Mus musculus: one gene and its partners. The protein of the gene in region 4 purifies or fractionates together with the protein of the main gene of each other region. This does not show direct contact. Links are inferred from orthologs where the notes say so. Each region holds a gene or a part of one and is shown on either strand. Other genes may lie near its edges.

Region 1 (3,500 bases), on a different chromosome or scaffold from region 4:
GTTATTCTGAGATTGTAGGCTGTGTATGTGACCCTTCCCCCAACATGGAAAGATCTGTCCCCTTCCCATAATGACAGATCCCTTTCTCTTGTCACTCACCTTGATGGGTGTGAGGTGCTGAAAATGGCGGTGAGGGTGGGAGATCAGATTCAGGGGGCTATCCCACTGGGAGGCAGAGTAAACCCGAATCTCATTGTTCTGGTCAGTAGTCAGGAGCCGAGCTCCATCTGGGCTAAAACAAGCTGACAAAGTGAAAAGCCCTTAAGCTGAAGGAAGCCTCAGCCCCTGGTATCCTGATCTTCCAAAATACCTTTCCTTTCTAGGTAGGGGAGGAGAGATCAATCTGAACTATGAACAAAACTACCATGGCAACTCCACTGCCAAAGGAGCGGTCGGAGCCAGAAAGGGTCCTACACACCATTGACCTGATGGCTGGTGGTGAGAAAGACAGGGCACATAAGGAAGATGGGGTTTGGGATGTCACACCTGCATTGACAGGATGCCTGTGAGGCAGTGAGTAGAGGAAGCTGTCTTTCCCTTTAATTTGGCGCAGGTCCCAAATCTTCACTGTTTGATCTATGGAGGCTGTGGCCAGAAGCCAATCACAGCAGGGATTCAGGGCCACGTGGGCTACTTTCTTCTTGTGCATTCGGAGGTTCCAAAGCTACAGAGAAAAGTTTGGTTCAGGTGTTGAACCAAAGAGGGGTGAGGGGATGGGGCGTGGGCCACACAGTACCCACCTCCTTGCCATCTGTGCTCAACAGGATCACATGTCCCATATTGTCTCCTGTAACCACCACTCTGCTCTTGGCAGAAACATCAAGGCTGCAAAACCAGACCCTAGAGGGAGAGAGTGTGCTGTAAGACCCTTCGAGACTGAGATAGTCTGTTTAGTCACTGTGACAACTCCAGTATCAAGTATTTGTTGAATCAGTGAGTAACTGTCTTACTATAAATTTCCAGTGGAGGGTTTTCAGCCTTGTTTACCTTGCAGAAAAGGGCTGTGAAAGAGTACAGAAAGAGTTGACAGAACTCAGAAATGTGTCCAGTTATTGCTGAGCCCAGAATCCTCAGCTAGTTCCTGGAACCTCAGAGCAAGAATACAAATTACAAGGCTAGCTTGCTCCCCACAGCCCAGGAATGAAGAGTTTTATTTACTATTCCCACTCATCACTCCTCAGTCTTTGCACCAAAGGAGAGGGCAAAGCAAACAGGAACTGTTCAGCGGAGCTCCTCGAAGCTGGCTAGACGTGAACATCTGTCCCCTTCTGAGCATTTAGGGAAAAAAAAAAAAAATCAAAGACTACCAGAACCTTTTTACTCTCGAAAACTATGTGAGAAAAAAGAGACTCAAGAAGCAGGTATTTCATGGATGCTGATTCGAAGCCAAGAGAACTCCAAGTCCATCTAGTCCCCTCTCCTGATGTTGTTCTCAACCTTATGGGACAGCCCAGAATAATAACCAAGCTGCTTAGACTCACTGCACACACCCACATATCATCCTTAGCAAAACTGTGTCTCTGGCTAGACATCAAAGTGGCCTGCATGTGTAATTTCTCCAGCCACTTATTCTTAGGAGGATTCTTCCACCTGTTAACACTGCCACCAAGGAGACAGCAAGGCCATTACATCCCGGAAAATGGAGGGCAATAACATTGCACTTCTTTTTTTTTCTTTCCTGCCCCCCTTTTTTCTTTCTTTTCTTAAGATAGGCCCTCACTATGTAGTTCTAGACGGACCCAGCTGACTTAGAGCTCATAGTGATCCACAAGCCTCTGCCTCCCAAGTGCTGCCATTAAAGGTAAATACCACCACACGTGGCTAAACTTGTCCTTGATTCCTGCTCTACTCTGTAAATACCTTTCCAAGCAAAATACCATGTTGATTTATCCTGTGAAAGTAAAGGTCTAATTTAATACAGCTATAACTTACAGAAGTAATTAAGCCCTTCCATCAAAGACAAGAGCTAAGGATCCAGAATGCCTTCCTAGTGTAACGACCCACTCAGGTCAAAGTCAGAGCCACCAGAATCTAAGGAGGAAAAGGAATGGTGCAAAGTGGCTAAGATCCCTGTCTTCCCTGTGCTGGGCCAAAGTGACAGAAACAGAACTGGGTATGTTCTCAGCAAACTGCATCTAGAGCTTAGAAGCCATTTCCCTTACAAGTTAACTACTCACTTGCAAGAGTTTGAGCTGGTATAAACTCTGAGAATGTTGCCTTTAAAATCCTGCAGCCTGGTTGTTCCCTCCATTGAGGAGGCAAAAAACTGGTTGGTATTGAGATGGTTAAACTTCAGCCCAGTGATGCTTCCTCCAGCTCCAATCTAACATAAGGAAGGAAAAAGCCAGTGAGTAATGATGGGCCAGAAGTGCGGGGCCGGGTCTGGGCACCCAGACAGCACCGAGGCAGCAACACCAAGGCCAGCTTAGATACCTCACATTAGAATATCTGTTTTTAAGGCTTTATTTTGACTTTTATATTGTCGATTAAGAGGTAGTAAATATGACTGGTTCTGGTACACGGCTCTTCGAATTTCAACACACACAAATATCTGAATAGCCTAGCCACCCCCAAAATTAAGATGCAAACATTGACTTCATAAAAACTCCCTCATGCTGCCCTACTTTATCACATTTCTGGCTTACATTCTCACGTTCAAACCTTGGAAACCGCAGCATGCTCTTGTTATAAGAGCTTCAGCTCAAAAAAAAGCGATGTTTGGTGGACAGGGAACTATCTGTATTCTTTCCTGTCCTTCCAGACATTTTAAGCAGTGATGACACAACTGAGCCTGGAGGTCTAGGAAGTGTAAGAACACTTGCCTAGTATGCACAAGGCCCTGGGTTTGACCCCCAACTACACACATCCTCCCCACCCCCTACAAATTAGAAAAGTGGGGAGTAACACCTATGGCTTAACATTTATTAAGAGGCTAGAGAGATGGCTTCATGGTGAAGAGCACCTACTGCTGTTTGGAGTTCAGTTCCTAGCATCTACATAAGATGGCTCAAACTGCATATAACTCCAACTCCAGGGCATCCAATACCCTCTTCTGGCCTCCTGTACACAAGGCATACATGCATGTATACACACATACACACACATACACACACACACACACACACACACACATACACACACATACACACACAAACACACAAATAAATAAATAACCAACCAACCAACCAACCAAGCCAGGAATAGGAGCACACACCATTAGCCAGCAGTTGAGAGGCAGAACAGATCTCCGATTTCAAGGCCTACTTGGTCTACATAGTGAGTTTCAGGACTATATATAGTTCCAGGGCTAATAGACTGTCTCAAATAAAGTAACAAATACAGTAAGAGCTAAAGCCAGGCAGTGATGTACATGCCTTTAATCCCAGCATTGAGTAGAAAGAGACAGGTAGATTTCTGTTTGTTTGAGGCCAGCCTGTTCTACAAAGCTGGTTCCAGGTGAGCCAGAGCTGTTATACAGAGAAACCCTGTTTTGAAAGGAG
Region 2 (3,500 bases), on a different chromosome or scaffold from region 4:
TGTAAATGAGGGGTCAGTACAATCAGTCTGCTCCACTGACAGTCATGAGGGATAGCAACATCCACAAAGGACAGACCAGAAAACACAGGGAAGAGCACTAAAAGACAACCTGTAGGTGACAGCTGTGTCTCCACCTCAGAGTGCAAGCAGAAATGTTCAAATGTCATGTATTTTATGTCAGTGTTTACACCCAGGTTATAGTAACAATATTCTTGTAACTTAAAAGAGTTTTCCAAATTACCTTTGCTTTAAGAGAGTTAATTTTTAGAATTTAAGCAAAATTCTGAAAAGAGGGTATACTGTTACCAAATACAAATTGAGAGGGTTTATATTCAAATTAGGAATGGAAAACCTGAAGCTGGGTGTGGTGGCACATGCCTGTAATCCTAGCACTCAGAAAGTGAAGACAGAAGGGTTGGGGAACTTGAGGCCAACCTGGGTCATGAAGCAAAATATGTTAGGCAGCCAGGGCAAACTCAGGATCTGAGAGGACCACGCTGCCCTGTATAATGGAGCAAATCCAAGCACTGTTGGCCGAGCCCTTGTTGGTCACCTGTGTCATAAATAGCTGAGGGCAATGAACCATATGGCCACTGCTGCCCAGGAGTCCCCCTCAAAGAGGCGCTTACATGTCAACTGTCTGCCACAGTAAGACCCAATGTAGAACTTAGAAATATGTTTCATGACCAAAATGTATCATCCCAATGCAAGCAACCTAGGATTAGCTAAAGTATGTGGAAGGCAAGTAGTCCCCAGCACTAGGAATGTGCTATGAAAAGAGCCAAGTCCAAGCCCTAGAAAAAGTTGGAGCACGGATCAGGCTCCTTGCCGTGAGTAACAACAGTTCAACCCCCTCTCATGACCATGTGGGTGTGTCCCTGCTGTTCTGCCAAGACTCCTTCCATTTTTCTTTGTATTTAATGGGTACAGGCTTAGAAACATTACAGAATAAAAAAGCCCAGATATCTTCGCTCCTCTGGTGATTAAATGCACATTAGCACATCTATGTCTCATTTACTGTTGTAAGGCATGAGCAGAAGCTGGAAGTGTCATCTGGATTGTTGGGACACCGTCACTGGTAGCGAGCGGCTCTCTGCTCTCATTCACTGCCCCATCATGGAATAAGTACACAGCCCTGTGAATGAAGGCAGTTGTCAGGGTTAGAGTAGGGGGAAGGAAGGTTTCTCTCTTTTATCTTTGATGGGGAAGTAGTTTTATTTTCATTGTCTAGATTACCCCCTCCCCTTTTCATGGAGACCTCACTGTACTGGTTAAAAGCATGAGCTCGGGTCTTCTGAACTCTGTCTAGCCACTTCTCACTCTAAGTAGGCTTGGGGAGGAAAAGGCCCAACCAAACCAAAATGGAACACCCAATGACAGTACTGCCACCCTGTTATACTCTAACTTTGTTGGGTCTCTCCTTCAAAAGGAGCTTTTGACTAGTCTTGTCTATCTGGAAACTTCTTTAAATCTTGGGTTTTGGTAAAGTATTTTTAATTTCAAAACAAAAAAAGCAACTCAAGTGACACTCCTACAAGTGCAGGTGGCTCCAGCCACCTGCTGTAGACTGAGCCCACCTAACTAACCTGCATTACTAACCTGTTGAAGGGAGGTAAAATTTTGTCTCTAACACCTCACTATTAAAGTTTTATTTAAAATGTCCCTGGGTCCTTATCTAGCTCTCAGAGGTCATGGCCAGGGGTTAACCCACAGAATCATCTCAACCTTTGAATATGATACACCACAGCTAGGTGGGTATAAGCAACCCCACTCTCACCAAGACCTTCTTCAAATATGATAAGAGGACTTAATCAACTGTCAGTCCCAACTCGATAAGCACATAGTGATATTTGTCCGAAAGAAAATGAACTTACATCAGGTAGAGGAGCAGTATTGTGTGCGCACAGTACATGTAATAGAAGTTTCTATATTAAGCACACTGCCACCCACCTCTCCTACCAGGAAGCATGATCATAAACAGGAGGCTGGCTGATAGAGCACCATTAAGTTTGCTTGACCTAGGCCACCAAAATACAACTTTGCCATGATATAAAATGATATAAATGTATGTGTTCTTACTGCTCAGCACGATAGCAACATATGCTACAGAGCAATTGGAAATGAAAAGCTAATTTTTAATTTAATTATATTTCAACAGCCCTCCGTGCTACGTGGCTGCTATTATCAGACACAGCACCTACCATGCCTGTAAGGACGCTGGGTATATATATATATATATATACCAGCTAAGTGAGACAGGAATCACTCTTCACTCAGGCAGGGCAGCGATCAGTATAAGACTCAGGACCGCAGCCAGAACTGCCAACAGTGGCACGCTCGTGGCAACAGAGACATGTCAAGAGTACAATGTTTGCCCAGTCTTAAAGCTGATTATTTGGGAATTCATAACAATGATAGGAATGGCTTCAGAAACCCACCAGTGGGAAATTACTATACAAACTGGAGTTTGTTCTTTAGAGTTCTGAACAAGAAGTGGGGTAGGGTGAAATGAACAAGACAGATGCATTGGTTCCTCAACCTTCAGGAGAGACTGGTCAAAAGCAGCCAGGAGAGGCTCTCCCACACAAGGCCCTTAATCTATACACAGCGGCCACGGAGGCAAAGGAGCCTGTGAAGAGCTGCTTCAAACTGACCTCAGCCAGACCCTCAGGTGACAGCCATGCTTCCACCTTTCTAAGTCCAATACTTTAAAGCTGGAATTCAAAAACTATAAGCTCACTACCTATTTTGTAAATAAGTTTTATTGCAACACAGCTCTAAATATCACTTCATGTTTGGCCTGTGACTGCCTTCTCCTCACTACAGGGGATCTGAGGCTGTGACAGGGCCCACACGACCCAGGAAGCAAAGAAGCACTGCCTTTGTTCTGACAGAAAAGTGTGCAAACCTTCGCTTATGAGTTAAGAGGAGGAGCCACCTGATGGCTATAGAGTCTGACGGGAGAAGAGGCTGACTAATGTCTCAGGGCTTTTCCTCAGGGGCCAGAGTGGAGAGGCAGCAGAACTCAAGCCCAGCTGTCTTCTGGAATGGGTTGGGACAGCAGAAGGACCTGGCCTGGGTGCAGCGGCTCGCCCAGACTCTGCCCTGTACTTACTGTCCCCCAGGATCAGCTCCACCTCCTCATCTGCATCAGAGTCTTCATCTTCCCCCTCCTCTCCCTCCTCTAGAAGGTTTGCTAGCTCCTCATCAGAGGGAGAGAAGTCATTGTCTCCATCCTCTCCTGCATTCTCATTGTTGTCATCCTCCTCCAGTTCTGCCTCCAGCAACTGGTCAGTGTCTAGTTCATCTAAATCATCAGTATCATCATCATCTTCATCATCATCTTCTTCCTCCTGTTCTTCCTCTTCCTGGTGAGAGAGCATGAAGTCCATTAGGAGAAACACAAAGCCGTAATCTGAACGGGCCATATGGTGATTGACTCCTATCAATCAAGGGGACAGAGTAATAAACTGTTAGTAGACAGACTTGTCAGGAGTGAT
Region 3 (2,704 bases), on a different chromosome or scaffold from region 4:
CTACAGCTTTGCCCTGAGATGAAGCCAGGGCCAGAGCTGGGGGCCAGCAGCTGGCAGGCCAAGAGACACACCATTGACTCCAGTGGGAAGGGTCAAGCCCTAGGGGAGGTGTGCCCTGGATTGGGGCACTGCAGCCCTGTCACTCTAAAGCACCCTGGCAACTTCCCACAGGGCTATGGAAAGCAGAGTTGGTCACCGCTGGTCTAGCTGCCTGAGGGGAAAGACTTCACTTGGTTGCCTAGGGACCTCAATGTGTGGACTGCTGTGTTCCAGGACAGCCAGGCCACACATGGTACCTGCCAGACAGTACCAATTACAGAAATGGTCACAGCCCCATATCCTCTTTGGTGATGGGTCACAGCAGCCTGCAGCTCCTAGGAGCTCCTCTCTGACACAGCCAATAAAAGGGTGAGTCCTATTCTCAGATGCCCCAGGCAGTCTGTGTGTGGATGTATGTCAGATCGCTTGAGCGTGCCAAATTGTCATACAAAGACACAGAGTTTAATCTTATAAATATATTTAATCATCTCTGCTCATTCCCAAAAGCCAAGCTGACTGCGAAGATCTCGTGAGGGCTTGGCACTAGAGTGGAGCCAGCTTCAGGCCTCAGCAGTGTCTTCTGGGCCCCTCATAAATCCTGCTGTGCTCGTGATGCCTTTAAACAGAAGGCACCAGCCCCGAGACCTGGGTGTGGCATGAGCAGAGCTACCACCAACCACAGTGCCAGAGCCCTGACCACCACAGGACTGGGCAGGCCTCTAACCCAGAAGACCAGCCTGTGGCCGCCTCAGTTCTGTCCCCAGCTCCTCAAAGGCATCATGAGACCCGAGGCGGCAGAATGAATGGGTAGGGCCTTACTGAATGGCCCAGGATTTTTGGCACTGGTCCTGGGAAACCCCAGGCATGTGCCTCCGCCATGGGACGAACCACAGCTGCCAGGGCTCTGAGGGGCCTGGGCCTCATTCCCTGTGCACAGCCTGGTCAGCTCCTAATACAGAGGGCAGCTGTATCCCATCTGCACTGGCCCCTCCCATTGTGAAACACTGAGAGGGAGGGGGCGGGGATCTCCCTGGAGCAGCCTTCCATGCCTTTGGCCTCCAGGGCACCACCCTAGTGGTTTCATAGCAGTAAAGGGCAGGCCTTTCCCAGATAAAAGGGACCCCTCCCCCAAAGGCCATTATAGGTGCCAGGTCTATCCTCAGGCTGGTTTCAGGTACCCCAGATCATTCCACCCTGGGACTTGTCAGCAAGTGTCTTGGGTATCACTGTGTGCACTGAGCAGGTACCACTTGAGCCTGTCGGGCAAGGGCAGTGCTTTGACCTTGGTGTCCACAGGCCACGGTCGCAGGCACAGCCGGATGGACACCCGGCACAGGTGTTTGAGAGGTGGCGGGTAGCTCTCGAGCTGCCTCAGGGAGGCATGAAGGGCCTGGATCTTCCCTGCCAGGCTACCCACTGGGTGGATGTTGAGGTTCTCAGGCAGCTGCAGCCTCTGGGAGCTGGTCACCATGAGGTCCAGCACGGTCTCAGCCTTATGCAGAAGCTCAATGTGGCTGTCGTCCTCGGCACAGCCCGGGTGCGAGCAGAGCCTCTCAAAAACGAGGTTGAAGCCAGACCAACAGGATGCACCGTGCAGGGAGCAGTTGTAGGCGGCTCCGGACTCCAGCAGGAAGCAGAGGAGCGGGAAGTGCAGCTTGAAGCTCTTGAGGCAGATGTGCGTGAGGGACTCATGGGCCGGGCACTCGCTGGGGTCGGCACCGTGGGCCAGCAAGAGCTGCGTGACTTGGAAGCAGAAGCGGTTGATCATCGGGGCCTCCTCCTTGTCCCCACAGACAGTCTCACCGAGCAGGAAGATGATGCAGGTGAATACAGTGTCCCCATCCTTGGTGGTGGCCTTGACGTCTGCCCCTGAAGAGCCATGGGAACAGAAATGAGAGGTGACCAGCAGCCCTTACCAGACAATGGTGTAGATGTGTGTGTGTGTGTGTTGGGGGGGGGGGGTGAGGAGCAGCAGCCACAGCTATGGACAGACAGGGAACCTCACCTCCCTCCAGGAGGAGCCGGATGTTTTCTGTGTTGTGGATCTGCACACCATCGCTGCTGGCCAGGGCGTGAAGTAAAGCTGTCTTCCCTACAAAGAGGAGGGAGGTGAGGCCCAGAGGAGGGTGGAAGCAGGATTCTCAGGCCGAGGGAAGAGCGGCTGGCTTGATTTCATCCACACAAAAACAGGAATAAGAGGGCCAAGCAAGGTTAAGACCCGCCTGCATCCACACACAGACGCTGGGTATACTCACCTCTTAAAGATGCTTCCTGGGGCAGTGTGCAGACAGTGACCACACTCTCTCCAGAGTCGCTGGGTGCTGGACTCAGGCAAATTGCCACCCTCTGCCCGTATGCCAGGTGTGGCCATGCCATCGACTGGGGCCAGCACCCAGGCACTTGGCCTGTCTTTTCTGAACCCTTAACAGGTGTCCAGCCCCAGGGATGGCCAGCCCTCCACCCCAGCACTTAAGTTTTATTATTTTATGTATGAGTGCTTTGCCTGCATGATGTATGTTTGTGTGCGCTATGAGGTCTCGAGATCCCCTGACACTACATTTACAGACAGTTGTGAGCTGCCCTGTGGGTGCTGGGAACTGAGCCGGATCCTCTGCAAGATCAGCAGTGCTCTTTTTTTAAGATTTTTTAAGACACACCAGAAGAG
Region 4 (3,985 bases):
CACAGTCACAGCTCAGCCCCTTGGGTAAAATAAAGAGTCTGGGATAAACTTTAATATACTGCTGAGGTGAGGGAGTAATGATCAAGTCCACAGGCCTTTTTTCTCAATCATCATGGAATTATTATACTTGATTACCTTCTTAGGCCTAGCTTTCTGACCTTAATTTACTGAGTTATTAATTAAGTAATTTATTTATTTATTATCTGTGGTACATGTTTATTAGTGTGCCACCAGATGGCATGTGGAGATGACAGGGACTGTCAGGGGTCTTTCTCTACCTTTTGTTTTGTTTTGTTTTAAGACTGCGTTTTTCTGTATAACCTGGCTGTCCAGTAGTCCAGGCTGACCTTGGAACTTGATCACCCACCTCTGCTGAGATTAAATGTGGGTGTCACCATGCCCAGCTCATTTTCCTCTATTTTATTACTTCATCCCCTTGAGACAGAGAGAGCCTCTTACTGAAAGCTCACTGTTTTGGCTGACTGACCAGCTTACAGACTTCCTTTTCTCTGCCATCCTTCAATACAATGCTAAAAGGTTACACACACACATATCCACACATGGATTTTTACAATAGATGCTGGGGATTTGAACTCAGGTCTGCATGCTTGATAGCAAGTATTATTACCTACAGAGCCAGAGGATTTAATTTCTACAATGTTTGCCTCTGAAATTGCCCTGCTTAGGTCTAAAATCTTACACTGACACTCCCTACCTGAGAGAGTAGGGCCACTTAATGTCTATGTCACATATCTATAAATAGGTATGTCACCTATTAGTATGAAAAGTACACAGTAAGTGCTTAGTCCCACAGACACTAAAACCTAAGGTACTGTTATCAGCCTTATTAACCTGTTTTAAGATATTCTCAAAAAAAGTGTGTTAGCTTGTGGCTTCCTTCTGATAGCATCTTGAGAGTGATCTAGTATCTTTACTTCTTTGACTAACCATTGTATGTGATTAAACTCTTGAACAACAGTTTAAAATCCCTGACATACCCTACATGTTAGGATAGCCATAGATGGTGAAGAAGTCTTGAGTTTACATCCACCTAAATCACGCAGCTTGCTTTAGAAACAGCTAAGTAATCTGTGTGGGGCACTCAGCGTTGCCATGGCCCACTGGATGCATGCAACCAAATATAGCTTTTGTTAGATTTCAACCACAAGCTCAAAGTTACTGAGACCATCTTGGAAATCAAGATATAAATTAAAAAACTGGCTTTTCCATCTACTTGGGAAAAAGATAAAAACAACCATTACTATGCTCTCATTACATATGGCTCATCCAGAACTTCTTAATAAATTACCTTATCTCATCTTCATGACATCATTAATAGCTACGTTTAACCTTTATCTTATAGATAAGTTTAGATACTTTAGTTTCCTAATGCCAGTCAACAGTCTAAATGACAGTTATTGAGACCTGATTTTCAGTCTATTGAACCTAAGCTCATTGCTATAGTATGACCATGAGGTGTGTTTCTGAATGTATTTGCTTATTTTTCTATTTACAGAAAGGGAAAGAATCCTGGATTGTCAAGATTATTAAAAGACACGAAAATCTTCAGGCCAGTGCCAGGCCCACAGTAAGAACTCAATAAACACTGAAAACAGAGTACTGACGGTTAAAGCCAGCTGTGCCATCAGAACAAAACACCTGGAGACAGCAAGACAGTCTACTCAGCAACCTTTTGTAATTTTTTTCTTCACTCTCCTTAATACAATTTGCTCTAAAGAATCATTTGACTTGTCGTCAATCCCAAAGATACATGGATTTGGCTGGGGAAAATGCTTCTAAGCTCTCTCTTATAATTCCTGGTTTACATGAATTGTAGTAGTATTGTAGGGAACTGCTAAGAGGATTTGGTATGTGTCTAAAGAGCTGAAAAAAAACCAAACCAATCAATCCAAGAGCTCATGGATTTTTTTTTTTTTTTTAAATCAATGCTCTGCTCATTCGATTTATAAAAACAGCCACGCTCTTCAGTTTGGGAATCTACTGAAGGCTGCAACTAACTGCATGTAGCCACCAGGTTCAAGGCAGAGTGTGTGAGATTTACAAAAATAATCATGTTGACAAAAGTCGCACCCCAAGTCAGCCCTTTACACGCCCTGAAGGCAAGAAACTTTCTAAAAGGGGAATCGAAGCAGGCCCTAGAGGACAGGTAAGGCTCTACTGACAAGGCAGACTAAGGCCACTGTGGCCAATATTCGGTCGACGCCCCACAGAAAGCCAAGCTCACCACACCCTTCATCTCCCACCCCTCGCGGGTCTCTCACAGTCCCGCCATCCCTGCCCTCCCCTGCGTCTCGCCAGGGACCTCCTCACTCCTTAGTCCAGGGTTTCGCCGCCAGGATTTCTTGTTGTTGTTTTTTGTCATATTTGTAGATTTCATCGATACTCTGCGCTTCCTGCATGTTGTTGGCCAATTCCCAGGTTTTCTGGGCCATACCACTCCCGGAAGCTGCCATGGCCGAGGCACCGGAGAAGCTGTCGCTCCACAATCAAGATGCAACTTTCTTCTACTGGGCCTCAGCGTGCGGGCTTTGGACCTTCCCCACCAGGGTGCACACTCACTAGACTCTCAAGGCAGCCATGACACTTGAGACCGGAGGTGACGTTGGTCCAGACCATTCGCGCGCTGGGGCGCGGCGGCGGCGCAGCGACATAGAAAACACTTCCTTAGGGTTGGCTCGGCTCGGCTCGGCTAAGATCAGTCTTGCCGGTGAAACGAGAACATGCTGGCTCGGAAATCCGTTCGTGTGAACTGCGAGGGACGCAAAGCCTCGGTGTGGGAATGGTACAGCCTTTCGCGCCGGAAGGCGGGACTATTGGCCTGCCAGGAAGGAGTCGGCCGGCTCGGCTCGTACTGCGCAGACTCAGATGCCACCATATTGTGTGTAGGAGGAAACTTGAGTTTGGGGAATTATGTTTATGTGAGTGTAGGTGCTTCAAACGAAATAAATTGTTTGGAATACTAAATATCTCTAGAGAAACAGAGGTGTAAGTATCTCCGGATTATTGGTTTTGGAGGGGGAAGATCGCGTGACTCTTTTAAGATAATTTGCGGTGTGTTAAGCCTCCGGGGTTTGTGGTTGGCGTTCCGCTTTTGTGTTTTCGCTACTGTTGCGAGGTGGCAAGCAAAAGTTACCGGTTGCTAAGATTAACTTTTTTAGGGACTTTATAGGGTAACATTTTATACAAGTGTTAGGAGCGGTGAATGCCTTAGGCGCTACTTTTTAAAAAAGGTTTGTCTCAGTGCAGATTTAATCTCCGCAACCTGTGCCTTCCAGCAGTTAATGTGAAATTTGTTTCAGTCGTATTTTTAGGTTTTCTTCCCTCACATTCTCATCCCCAATTGCCCACTAGACTGTAAGTTGAAGGCATGCATGAAATTTGTGTTTTATTTAATTCTAATATATTTAATTTTTTTCGTAACACGGTTCTTAAAGACTTCTCCAGCTTCATCATCTTCTTTTAGCTCCCCCAACCCAGTTTTTCATTCTATTAGAACTTTTTTCCTTGGCTTAGTAATATATTAGTTGTTAGGCATTGCTTGAAATGCACTTCTTGACATTTCTGCTTTAGAGCACACAGATTTTAAAAAGCACAGCTCGGAGATGCCTTTCCTTAACTCTTCGTCAGTAACTGCTCCTTCACAGGAATTCGAAGGCTCTGTAGCTGCTTCACCTGGACCCCGGGGTTTTTGCAGTTCTGGAACTATGTAGTCCAGGCTGGCCTCAAACTCGAGAGCTGCCTGCTTGAGTGCTGGGATTCAAGGCGTGCACCACTACTGCCCGTCTGTATCCTCTTCTAATGCAGGTGCTTTTGCCTGGGCTGCAGGAGACCCTGTTTCAAAAAGTCAAGGAGCTGGGCAAACAAAACAGAGCAAGGACATTGCAACATTCTTCTAATTCCAGTACTTGGGAGGTGGAGAATGGAGAATCAAGAGTTCCAACCCCGCTTTCTCCCTGGACTATTG
Region 5 (3,500 bases), on a different chromosome or scaffold from region 4:
AGCAGTATCCTTAAAAACACTTGTGTGGTCTGGCAGGTCAGACCAGCTACTAAAGCTCTTGCTGCCAGGCCTGAGAACTTGAGCTCAGTTCTCTGCAACTCTCACGGTAGAAGAGAGCCTACATTCAGGAATTGTTCTCTGACCTCCAAATGCACCTGCATAGGAAGATGTAAAGTAAATAGGTAGAACTGTAAAAAGTAAGCTATATAGAAACAAATCATGAGTTTCATAAAATAGTGCTACTTTACTAGAAAATGAATGGGAGGGGGAGGAGTCAAAAAAGAAAAGAAATGAATGAAATTTATTGGCCAGAACAAGTTGTATAAATACATTTAGCCTGAATAGGAGCTAAGCTCTTGACTGGTGCAAATGAGGTTGTTCCCTCTTTCTGTCTAGTACCTGACTAATTAATTTGTTTTTTCCTCCTAATAAGATACTATTCATAGGACAAAATGGTTAGGATGAACTAGTGTTTTCATATACTTATTTGATAGTGCTCATTTAAATCTTTGTATATGTTTCCTTTGTGTCTTATGCTGCTCTCAAATTTGATGTCAAGATTTTATTAGCATTGTAAGATGAAATCTTTTCTTTTGGCATTGATTTCAACCAACTGTGGGTCAAAGTACTTTTTTTAAGTACTTAAAAAAATTTAGACTTTTAAATGTATACAGATATTTTCCTTGTCACTTGGTAATTATTTATATAACATGATATATTAAGAATTAGAAGTAAGCTGGGTGGTGATGGCCTATACCTTTAAACCCAGCACTTGGGAGGTAAATGACTCTCTGAGTTTGAGGCCATCCTGGTCTACAGAATGAGTTCAGGACAGTCAGAGATATACAGAGAAACCCTGTCTTGGTCAAAACAAAACAAAACAGCAGGATTAAAGGTGAGTGGCACCACTGCCTGGTGGGCTTTTGTGGGTTTATAATGTTTTATTTTGTTTCTTTGAACTGGGTCTTTGTAGCTATAGCTTGTCCTAGAACTCACTATGTGGATCAGGCTGGCCTTGAACTCACAGACATTTATCTGTTTCTGTTTCCAAGTTCAGCCACCACACCCAGCCTCCCTCCCTCCCATTTTTAAAAACACATCATCCATGGACATAAATATTTTACATGCATGTATGTGTAATATGTGCATGATGGGGGTCCCTGAAGTCTGAAGAAGGAGTCAGATCCCTTAGAAGTGGAGTTGCAGAGAGTTGAGTTACCACCAATGCTAGCGTCTAGACCCAGTTCTTTGCAAGAGTAGTAAGTGCTGTTAAATGCTGCGCTCTCTCTGCAGCTGACAGCTTTACAGTGGGAAGAGTTGAGTACAGCTTCAGAATTAGAGGATTAAGTCTCTCTGTAAGATACCCATTCATTTTCAACACCAGAAAGACTCAGGCTTTACTGCAAGCTGGCATAATTACTGTTATTTGTTATGTAGCTGCAACATTCAGTTCAAGATCAGCTTAAGAGAGAGAAGTATAGGACGGAGTCTAGGAGGTCCCGAGTGTAGTTTCTGTTATCCTTCCCGTGGTCAGTGTATGACAATATACACAAATTATGCCTAAGGAAGCTAATCTAACTTTCTTCCTGTCCAATTTGTGTGGAATTTCTTCACAAAGACGAGAATGTTTATGTCCATGAGTACTTTGAACTCTACATTGACACAAAGCCCTTCTTTAAATTACATTGTTAATCTTTTAAATTGGCCAGCCCCACTTTTGAGACCATGTTGACCCTGCCAGTCCCCTACCAAAACTACATTTGTTAGCTAAGGTTCATTTTAGGTACACATTCCCATTGACCATGGATTATCTGCCGGAAGGAACCAAGAGGGAAGGCCACACTCTTTATAACAAATTCTTCCCTGTGCATTCCACTTTAATCTTAGTATTGCTGTCTGTTTCTTCCCCCTTCTCCTAGGATTGACCCCTGGGACTCACGCACAGCCTATAATTCTGACCTATAAATCAGCCCTGATTTGTGTTTATAGTTATCTTTGATTCCCTGCTATAAGATTAACCCTATAAGAACTCTTGTTTTGGAAAGGTATTTGTTTTAAATTTGATCTCTCTATTTTTCTGGGCTCTTTTTTTTTTTGGTTTTCGAGACAGGGTTTCTCTATAACCCTGGCTGTCCTGGAACTCACTTTGTCTGGCCTCGAACTCAGAAATCCGCCTGCCTCTGCCTCCCAAATGCTGGGATTAAAGGCATGCGCCACCACGCCCAGTCTCAGGCATCTTTTAAGAGATATTTTTAGATAAAAGTATGTGAAACTTTTGTATTTAATTGATTTAAAACAAGCCATATTTTATCTCTTTTGTTTTTAAGAATAAAGGTTCTCTCCAGTTTGAAGACAAGTGGGACTTCATGCATCCAATTGTTTTGAAGCTTTTACGCCAGGAATCTGTAACAAAACAGCAGTGGTTTGATCTATTTTCGTAAGTAATCCAGTAATTCTGTTTGTTAACAGTGGGTTTTGGTGGCTTTCCATACTGGATGGACAGTATGAGTTTAAGTGATAGGAAAACCTGTATATTGTTACTTAGTTGTGTTGGAGATTCCCAAGACAGAGTAGAGTCTAGGTTCCTTGACGTGCTAGGTGACCTTATAAGCCTGAACATACAGCGAAAAGACATATGGGTTGAAATTGGAAGATGTAAGGGGGAGATTAAGCACAGATTTCCAAAGGTCCTTTTCCAGGGGATTCACCTGGGACATTACGTTCTTTTTCTTAGATTAGTTTATCTCATTTTATGTGTATGAGTATTTTGCTTGCTTATATGTCTATGTAATATATGTGTTCTTGGTACTGGTGGAGGACAGAAGAAAGTGTTGGATCCCATGGAAATGGAGTTAGTGAGCCACCATGTGGGTGCTAGGAAATGACCTCGGGTCCTCTGCAAAAATAACAAGTGCTCTTAACTGCTGAGACATCTCTCCAGCCTTGGGACATTTAATTTCTTCAGCAGGAAGATTGAAAACATGTGATATGTTATCAAGAGTTAATGAAAGTGGCTATATAGTCATTCAAATTCTGGATTCCTAGGAAGAGTAAGTATAAATTCAGTAAAAATCAGGATGTTTGTGTTATCAGTTTAGATAAACTGAACCAGTGTTATCATTTCAGGAAGGTTTTATATAGATGTGGGAACCTGTCAGTTCTCAGATTTCAGTCTAAGGCTAACCTTACAAACAGATTTTTTTTTTTTTTTTAAGGAATTGAATCTCAGGTCTGCTTTGTTACTGCTTAGCCCTTGGCCAAATGTCTAGAGAACAGTTATTGTTAGAAGTCCCTAGGAGGCAGTGTAGCAAGTTTTAACAACCCTATTAATCACAAAGTTCACCTTAGAAGCCAAATGAGATGGTTTTCTCCTTCAGTTTCTATGTGAACAGTTAATTTAATTTAATATGTATGAGTGTTTTGCCTGCATATGTACAAGTACACAGTGTGCATTCCTGGTTCCTTTAGAAACCAGAAGAGTATGTCAGCCTCCATGTGGC
Region 6 (3,500 bases), on a different chromosome or scaffold from region 4:
GTCATGAACCATTATTTACTGAATTTTTAAAAAATCTCATCTAAGAAGTCAACAGGATGGGAATCCAACTCAAGTCCTGGTTTCTCCTCCTCCTCCTCTTCCTCCTCCTCCTCCTCCTCCTCTTCTTCTTCCTCTTCTTCTTCCTCCTCCTCTTCTTCCTCCTCCTCCTCTTCTTCTTCTTTTGTTTGTTTTTTTGTTTTTGTCTGTTTGTTTTCCCCCAAACAATTGGGAAGAGCTGTTTATAATGGGAACTACAGGAACTATCAGGAAGTGCTGGAAAATCCAGGCTAGAGGAGGGTTAGAGAGGCCAGCCAGTGCCCAGCCCTCTCAGCTTAGAACACAAACACCCATCCAGTCCACCTCTGACCGCACAGAATGGTCTCTGGCATGGAGAATCCGGGATGGACATCATCCTGGGTGGCCCAAGTGAAGAAGGCACGCTAGTGGTGGCCATGAAGCTCAAAACACACAAGAAGGGTTTTCCAGGTCAAATCTACAACCCATTTGCTGAGCCAAGGTCATGGAAGAGCCAGGAAATCTACCAGAAGAACAGTGCTCCCAGCAGGAGCCAGCAGCTCCTGTGTGGAAGAGAAGCCGGGGCACAAGCGTGTGTCATGTCAACCAGAGTGTATTCTGAATAGCTCGCCGAGACACGGTGGTGGCTCATGCATAGAATCCTAGCACCTGGAGGCTCAGACAAGGGGACTGAGCTACAGAGTTCTACACCATAGACTGCGCTAGGGTAAGACCTGGCTTCAAAACACAAACCATGTTGCGTGAAAGAAAGAAGAAATGTCCGTAGGTAAACAATCTAGCTAGTTACTTTCCTAGAAAAACAGAAGCAAGGATGTAGGATTCAGGAGTGTCAGCTGCCGTGCATTGCTGTGAACTTAATCGATGCTGTACTGAGCCCCAGTGCAAATGGTGCAAAGCACTAGCAAAGACAAATTATCTTGATTCCTAGTGGGGGCCACTGGGAAGTGACAGCATCTGAGGAAGAAAATAGTCCATGGCTTCCATCACACTCCTCCCTCGCTGCTGCCTCTTCTCAGAGGCACAATTACATAGGCCAGCTGCAGAGAGTAGAGCCCGCACCCCACTCCCAAAGCAGGTCCAATCCACAACCTCAGCTCACCAGAGAGAGCTCATTTGAAAACAGATCTGTGGCTGTAAACACGCTAAACAGAATGGATCTGGGATTGTGCCGGGGCCTAGCAAACACAGAAGTGGATGCTCACAGTCAGCTATTGGATGGGTCACAGGGCCCCCAATGGAGGAGCTAGAGAACATATCCAAGGAGCTAAAGGGATCTGCAACCCTATAGGTGGAACAACAATATGAACTACCCAGTACCCCCCAGAGCTTGTGTCTCTAGCTGCATATGTATCAAAAGATGGCCTAGTCGGCCATCACTGGAAAGAGAGGCCCAATGGACATGCAAACTTTATATGCCCCAGTACAGGGGAACGCCAGGGCCAAAAGATAGGAGTGGGTGGGTAGGGGAGTAGGGGGTAGGGTATGGGGGACTTTTGGGATAGCATTGGAAATGTAAATGAGGAAAATACCTAATAAAAAATATATTTAAAAAATGGATCTGGATCACAAACCCAACTGCCAGCATCCGTATTAGAGGTAGAGACTTACAGGAGAAGCCACATGAAGACAGCAGACATGCATGAGGAAGCCACCAGAAAGAGAGTGAAGAGGTGAGGAAGACGCCCTGCTGAGAGCTTTCTCTCCCTTCCTCTTGCTCTACCATCTCCCAGGCTGGCCTTAAAGTATTGGTCCCACTTCCTGTACCTCCCCAGTGCTAGCATCACATGAGTGCATAGTCACACCCAGTTATGGGCCACCTATCTGAATACTTTATTGGTGTCTGACATTTACACAGTTGCCTGTGTTCACTTGTAGACCCAGAGTCTCCCTCATGCAGTGATCAGCAGGGCTAGCGAGCTCTGTCTGCCCCTGCATGCCAAACATACAAGCAACTCCAAGAGTCCAGTTATTCCTCTCCTTCAGCTACGGGCTCTGCACACCAGACACACCAAACACAGATGTAAATGCCCTTAGCTAACAGACCACTTGGTGGCAGCCTCCTCAAGGGAGGCAAAGACAAAGGACAGGGCTCTTCCCTGCACCCAGAAACACCCCCTCACGTAGCTATGATGTTCTCTACCCTGATGCCTGGGATCTCTCTGCTACACACAGCAGCACTGAACCTGGGCACTGTCTCTTTTCCACACTACTCCTATAAAATGTCCATCACACAGATGTGTACATGCAAACAGTAGAACACTCTGCACAGGTGTAACCATCTGGTCTAAAAAGTTCTTTTGTGCTCACACCCTATCACCTCCATGGGACATAGAAACGGGCCCCCAGAACTGGCCTTCTGGGTATCTATCTAGTAAAGCAAAAGCCAGACTTAGCTCTGGCTTGGCACTGGTGGGTGGGTTTAACTCTTGGGGAGAGAAGAGAACTCAGTTTACCCTTTTTTCCCAAGCTGTGACCCAAACCTCCAAAATGGGCAGGTTCCAGGTACTGACCATAAGGCTGGGTTTCTAGAAGCACAACGAACATTCATAATCTTCTATAATTCCCTCTTCCATGTGAACAATGTCCATGCTCAAATAAGGTCATCAAAGGTCCTTCCTGCCTAATCCATCCTGCCTCGGGGCTCACATCTTTAAGAAAAGGCGAGTATATAGCATCTGATGCATAAAATCTCACTCAGATACATAGCTTCTTCTAGCCAGTCCTGACCCAGCCAGGTTGCTGCAGCTTATGCAAAAGCAGTTGACTGCCACTCACTCACCTCGGGTGGTATATCCGCCAATGACGTAAATCTTCCCCTTGCACTCGCAGGCAGAGAACTCAGCCAGAGGGTTTGGCAGGGGAGCCACAAAATTCCACGCATCTTGCTCGGGATTGTAGCATTCCACGTTAGAAACAGCCTGCCCACCGATGGCGTAAAGCTTTGAATTGACAGCCACAAGTTTGAAGTTAGATCTGAAAGGAAGACGCAGACCAAAAGGTCAGTTCTGGCCTTGACATGGGAGGACACTCTCTGGTAGAAGGTGTCCTGAAGTTTTCCAGTCAGAGCCATTCTGCCTGGTGACTGCAGAGGTGACTTCTCAAATGTTACTCTGGTACCCAGGACTCCACACTCTGCAGGGCAGGAATGGGAATCCACAGATACAAGCAACTCCAAACAGGCGGCTCTTGGTGACAAGGACCAATCTTGCTTGTGGGCCTGAGGCCAGGATCAGGATACCTGCCTCACTGAACTCAGTCTTCCGCATCTGAAGATGCCATGCCTGCATCCAGCCAGCAGCTTCAGACCCAAATGTAAATGACATATTGCATCTGTCTTGGACATGTGCAGACATCCATCCCCCTTAGACGAGATTGCAATAACTACCTAAAGAGCACATGCGTTCTGTTCTGTTACATGCAATTCGAGATGCATTAAAATGCAGCTTGATGCTGAAGTGATGTGC
Region 7 (4,260 bases), on a different chromosome or scaffold from region 4:
TTCTATCTCACATTTTTTTTTCTTTCAAGGAAAACAATCACATGTCATTTCTGAGAACACTACAGAATGGCTACGACAGCTTCCAGAGACGTCTAGTCAGACTTGCCCATCAAATCCATGTCTGGGTGTGAAGAGCGGGCAGAGCAATGGAAACCACTGTTCCCAACCACCACTGGTTGTTGCAGATAATTCTCTTACAAAATCTCCCCTTATGTAATTATCAGAGGCCACAGCACCTATTCTTTATTGTAAGACACAGGTCAAGGTGGTATGGCAGGCTGCTCTGATGACACCCACATCTGGACCACGATTGATCCTCAATAAGAAAAGAGTCATTCCAGAGCCAGAGCTGCCAGAAACACGCCCTGCGACGCAGGAGGAGGAGTCTCTAGGGAGCGGCCTGGACCTTGCTCCTTAGCAGTCACCTGGGGTACCGATCCAAATCCGAGGGTCCTTAGCTGGGACCTGAGTCCCAGTTGATGAGATTACATGACAAAACAGGGCAAACTGCATCTCAAACACTCTCAAGGTTTACCCCCAAAAGCTATGAGGCAAAACCAAGCAACACTACTCAAAATACTGAAAATGCGGCTCACAATCCTAATTTCGGGCTTCAGTGAACACCAATTACAGAGGCAGGGATGTGCAAACTTGCAAAACAAGTTTTCTTCTGCCGATCTGTATTGGCTTGAAGAGTATTCAAAATTATCTACTAAGAAGCACATCACAATTTTTAGCTCTAGAAACCAATAACCACAATTGGCAAGTGTCGCCAGTACTGACACCAATAACCTGGAGACAAAACAACACACCCGGAGTAGACCGGAGCAGATGCTATCATCTCTTTTCTCAAACATACCCAATTCAGGGGCTGGCAAGATGGCTCAGCACATTAAAGTGCCTGCCACCAAGACCAACGAACTGAGTTCAATACCCACGACCCACAAGGTAGAAGTGAGCCAACTCTCTCAAGTTGTCCTCTGACCACTGCCAATGGATGCCCCACCCCTATATGTGAATATAAACCGAAACAGAAAGCCCCAACAACAAAACCATATTCAGCAAATAACAAAGTGTTCTTTGCTTTTTTTTTGAGACAGCCCAGCCTCCTGAGCGCTGGGGATTAGAGGCATGAGCCAACGCCTTGGTCTAACACGTGGTCTGTGAAGCACTGAGCAAAGTGTGTGTGTAGTTCAAGGAATAATTTTATTCTTAAAGATAAACACGGCAAATCAACTGTTGATTTCTGAGCCATTATATCATAGCCTATTATTCCACTCCTGTGTGGAGATTGACCCCAGGGGCCTTTAACTACCCACACAGTCGTCAGAAATAAGGCTACATTTTACATAGTTTAATTAATCAACTTAAGCCCATCACATGAAATTTATGTGTATTCAGTTTAACTTCTGATTCTGGGCGACTCCGATCAGAGCCTTGGTAGCAGGCTTTTGGGGCCCAAGCTTTTTCCGAGTAACTGGTTTCCTGGCACCAATGTACACCGCTCCTATTGGAATGGCAAAGGTTCCATAAGTAGGTCAGTTTAAACAGATAAGGATCCAACTGGGTGCTGGGACTAATATGGCTGGTAGTGGGTGAGCCAACTTTTGTACTGAGACCCAACCAGGTGCTCAAAACTGGAGGGCGCGGACCTGTCTTCCACGGATTTCCTAGTTTAAGGGTGAGCCAGTCTTTCACACATCAATTTCCACCCCCAACCTCCTTTCACTTTTCATTTTATAAATATTCCCCGAATAGTTACAGTGTAACAGGCTCTGGGTTTCCCAATCTGGAGGATATTTTGGTTCTCAGTAACTTTCGAATATGGTAACAGTTTTTCCCTTGGGTATTATTTTTCTTTTCCCAAAGGGCAGGACTTTGTACTTGACTACTCCCTGGGGGAGAGCCCTGGTTCCAGCAAAGCCCACTTATGGAGGGTCAATCACTGAAACCTTAAGGTTGCGAGGCCCCGGGGCCAGACTTTGGGGACTGAGTCATTCCAAAGCCAGAGCTGCCGGAAACACGCCCTGCGACGCAGGAGGAGGAGTCTCTCGGGCGCGGCCTGGACCTTTCTCCTTAGTAGTCACCTGGGGTACCGATCCGAGGGTACTTAACTGGGACCCGAGACCCACCCTCATGCACCGACCTGGCCTGTGTCCTCTAGGCGGCAGGTCACTGATGGAGGGAAACTAAGGCCGAGCCCAGCAGTACAACACACCCGCGCGGCGTGTGGCACCGCGTACTCGAGAAGTGGCGGCTCTCCATCTTTTCCTAGAGATCCTAAATCCTGATTCAGTTGGGGCACGGGAAGGGGGGAGTGTCACAGGAGGACCCCGGTCCATCTCTTCACCTCCGCCAGATTTGGGCTGGCGGTAGGGAGTGCAGCTCCGGGGACTCAGGTGCTGCCCACGAGTGCATCTCCCGTACCCGGCGTTCCAGGGTCCCCTCGTCCCCTCCCCCAGGGCATGCTCCACCGCCGAGGGCGCACACAGGCCCTGGGCCGCTAAGCCCGCGGGGACACCGAGAGTGTCCTCTTCAGCACCGCGGGATGTGCGCGGCGCCCGGGCATGCGTACCTTGCTCTCGATCAGCTTCACCATTTTGGCTGTTGCGGGGAGGGAGCCACACGCGTCTCAGCAGAACCAGATGGAAATGGATCCAAGGCGCCCAACGGAGCTTGCAACCGAGTGCGGCGCCCGCCTTCTCTTTATAGAAATAGGGCGGAGCGCAGCAGGGCGGGGCGGACGGGCACGCGCGGCGGGGACGCGCTTCCCGCCTCCCGCGTCCGCCAAGGCGCCTGGGCAGGCCGCGCCTAGACCACGCCCCCAAGAGGTGGGGCGGTTTTCCAGGGGGCGGAGCCAGAGTCGGCTACTAGTGCAGCCTGGGGACTGTCCTAGCGCTGGCCTCACTCCTGGCTTCCCCGCCCCACTCTAAGCTGCCGAACAAGAACCTTAGTTTATAAGGGGCGGAGCTAGCACAGGCTCCTGGAGCAGCTTCGGGTTTTTCCAGGCTCCAGACGCCGCGCGGCAGCTACCCCTAAGAGCCAACTTCCAGCTGCCTCAAGGGCACTTTAACAGCGAACAGCGCCGGGGTAGATCACGGTCCTCTCTCACACCGTAGAGTCCTTCTGTAATCACACTGCCCATGCCCCAAACTAGACCTAAGTCAGATACTTCCAGATTGGGGCTGGGGACAGTCCCTAGGACTGCCCAGGCAGAGGTGTATCCTTAGACTAGGGCGGCCATGCTGCAGTTCGACTCAAAGTGCTGAGTAACGATGACCAGGAAGTGTCTCAGTGCGCGTCCTCGCCAACTTTCTGGGTAGTTCTTTGCCGCTTCTTTCTCCTCTCTCTCTCCTATTCCTTAACTTTAACAGGTGAACCTGCTACTGGGAGAGGCACAGAGCCGTTTAGAGCCCTGTTCTGTGCCCCATGCACATGTAGGCATGATAGAGATCGGATAGTCTAGCTCCCAGCATTGTCTTGAAGGATTTAAGGGCTTGAAAACTGACTGAGGACAGCGTTTGGCCCATAAGGAAGCACTCAATGAATTATTCTAATTATAGTCATCGCGAGCGCTAATTAAGCTTGCGTGGTGCCTTGTGGGGCCTTGCTGAGTTTGGCTGCCTTGTATTTACAATGACAGTATAGGCTTTGAGGAGATTTTTCCGCCTTGGGAGAGGACGCCAGGAAGAGTCTTCTTCAATGATAACTGAGGTGATGTTCAGGAGGACAGGGCATGGTGGAAGAAGCTAAGATTCTTAAGGTGGCTTTGTGCAGCCCCAAGAGTGCCGCTGTATGTTCTGGTGAAGCAGCTGAGGTGGAGACTGGACAGAGCCAGCATCCTGGGAGGAACTCACCAAGCCTGCATTTGGAGAGCCGATCTAGATAAATCTACATCGAGGTGAAGCACGGGAGGCTAATGAAACTGTGTCTCAGCCACCCTACCCCTACCCACTGGCTTCCCTTGTTCAAAACATTTAAAATACCAGAACCAGTTGTGCGATGTTTTTGAAGGGCTGAGGAATTCAAGTAATGAGTGAGGATGTAGACAAGAGGGAGTGTTCTGAACATAGCCCTAGACTGCGGGTGGATGCTGCCCCAAAGGCAGTAGCCTTCCCTTTAGGACAGCTGAGGCAGAGAGGAACCCCAGGCAGATGAGCAGAATCTATTAATTCTCTTTGCAGCTGTCGGGTCTTTTCAGTCCAGCTACATTCCAGGTTTCTGGCTTTTTGGTAGTCAAACACTGACCTGTAGAACTTG

The links.
Region 1: the proteins of Cops5 (region 4) and Ddb2 purify together in Homo sapiens (affinity purification with mass spectrometry; 10 studies listed by BioGRID and IntAct, counting the BioPlex papers as one, with this or other methods). This does not show direct contact. The link is inferred for Mus musculus from reciprocal best matches to the Homo sapiens genes COPS5 and DDB2.
Region 2: the proteins of Cops5 (region 4) and Dcaf1 purify together in Homo sapiens (affinity purification with mass spectrometry; 8 studies listed by BioGRID and IntAct, with this or other methods). This does not show direct contact. The link is inferred for Mus musculus from reciprocal best matches to the Homo sapiens genes COPS5 and DCAF1.
Region 3: the proteins of Cops5 (region 4) and Asb6 purify together in Homo sapiens (affinity purification with mass spectrometry; 3 studies listed by BioGRID and IntAct, with this or other methods). This does not show direct contact. The link is inferred for Mus musculus from reciprocal best matches to the Homo sapiens genes COPS5 and ASB6.
Region 5: the proteins of Cops5 (region 4) and Cul5 purify together in Homo sapiens (affinity purification with western blotting; 6 studies listed by BioGRID and IntAct, with this or other methods). This does not show direct contact. The link is inferred for Mus musculus from reciprocal best matches to the Homo sapiens genes COPS5 and CUL5.
Region 6: the proteins of Cops5 (region 4) and Klhl42 purify together in Homo sapiens (affinity purification with mass spectrometry; 3 studies listed by BioGRID and IntAct, with this or other methods). This does not show direct contact. The link is inferred for Mus musculus from reciprocal best matches to the Homo sapiens genes COPS5 and KLHL42.
Region 7: the proteins of Cops5 (region 4) and Txn1 purify together in Homo sapiens (affinity purification with western blotting; 3 studies listed by BioGRID and IntAct, with this or other methods). This does not show direct contact. The link is inferred for Mus musculus from reciprocal best matches to the Homo sapiens genes COPS5 and TXN.

What each region holds. Positions count from the first base shown.
Region 1 is NC_000068.7:91,216,567-91,220,066, forward strand, and holds part of Ddb2 (DNA damage-binding protein 2), read right to left. Parts: intron 2,324-3,500; coding exon 2,178-2,323; intron 841-2,177; coding exon 741-840; intron 665-740; coding exon 487-664; intron 243-486; coding exon 100-242; intron 1-99.
Region 2 is NC_000075.6:106,873,924-106,877,423, reverse strand, and holds part of Dcaf1 (DDB1- and CUL4-associated factor 1), read right to left. Parts: intron 3,369-3,500; coding exon 3,116-3,368; intron 1,136-3,115; exon of another isoform or gene 1,019-1,135; intron 1-1,018. UniProt on the Homo sapiens protein: Acts both as a substrate recognition component of E3 ubiquitin-protein ligase complexes and as an atypical serine/threonine-protein kinase, playing key roles in various processes such as cell cycle, telomerase regulation and histone modification.
Region 3 is NC_000068.7:30,822,597-30,825,300, forward strand, and holds the end of Asb6 (ankyrin repeat and SOCS box protein 6), read right to left. Parts: intron 2,132-2,704; coding exon 2,045-2,131; intron 1,909-2,044; coding exon 1,244-1,908; 3' UTR 501-1,243; downstream 1-500. Other genes in the region: Ntmt1 (N-terminal Xaa-Pro-Lys N-methyltransferase 1), read left to right, coding at 1-22. UniProt on the Homo sapiens protein: Probable substrate-recognition component of a SCF-like ECS (Elongin-Cullin-SOCS-box protein) E3 ubiquitin-protein ligase complex which mediates the ubiquitination and subsequent proteasomal degradation of target proteins.
Region 4 is NC_000067.6:10,035,339-10,039,323, forward strand, and holds the start of Cops5 (COP9 signalosome complex subunit 5), read right to left. Parts: upstream 2,801-3,985; 5' UTR 2,673-2,800; coding exon of another isoform or gene 2,581-2,672; 5' UTR 2,475-2,580; coding exon 2,332-2,474; exon of another isoform or gene 2,324-2,331; intron 1-2,323. Other genes in the region: Cspp1 (centrosome and spindle pole associated protein 1), read left to right, coding at 2,801-3,006. UniProt on the Homo sapiens protein: Probable protease subunit of the COP9 signalosome complex (CSN), a complex involved in various cellular and developmental processes.
Region 5 is NC_000075.6:53,657,508-53,661,007, reverse strand, and holds part of Cul5 (cullin-5), read left to right. Parts: intron 1-2,327; coding exon 2,328-2,437; intron 2,438-2,822; exon of another isoform or gene 2,823-3,050; intron 3,051-3,500. UniProt on the Homo sapiens protein: Core component of multiple cullin-5-RING E3 ubiquitin-protein ligase complexes (ECS complexes, also named CRL5 complexes), which mediate the ubiquitination and subsequent proteasomal degradation of target proteins.
Region 6 is NC_000072.6:147,101,075-147,104,574, reverse strand, and holds part of Klhl42 (kelch-like protein 42), read right to left. Parts: intron 3,010-3,500; coding exon 2,816-3,009; intron 1-2,815. UniProt on the Homo sapiens protein: Substrate-specific adapter of a BCR (BTB-CUL3-RBX1) E3 ubiquitin-protein ligase complex required for mitotic progression and cytokinesis. The BCR(KLHL42) E3 ubiquitin ligase complex mediates the ubiquitination and subsequent degradation of KATNA1.
Region 7 is NC_000070.6:57,953,612-57,957,871, forward strand, and holds the start of Txn1 (thioredoxin), read right to left. Parts: upstream 2,801-4,260; 5' UTR 2,600-2,800; coding exon 2,576-2,599; intron 1-2,575. UniProt on the Homo sapiens protein: Participates in various redox reactions through the reversible oxidation of its active center dithiol to a disulfide and catalyzes dithiol-disulfide exchange reactions.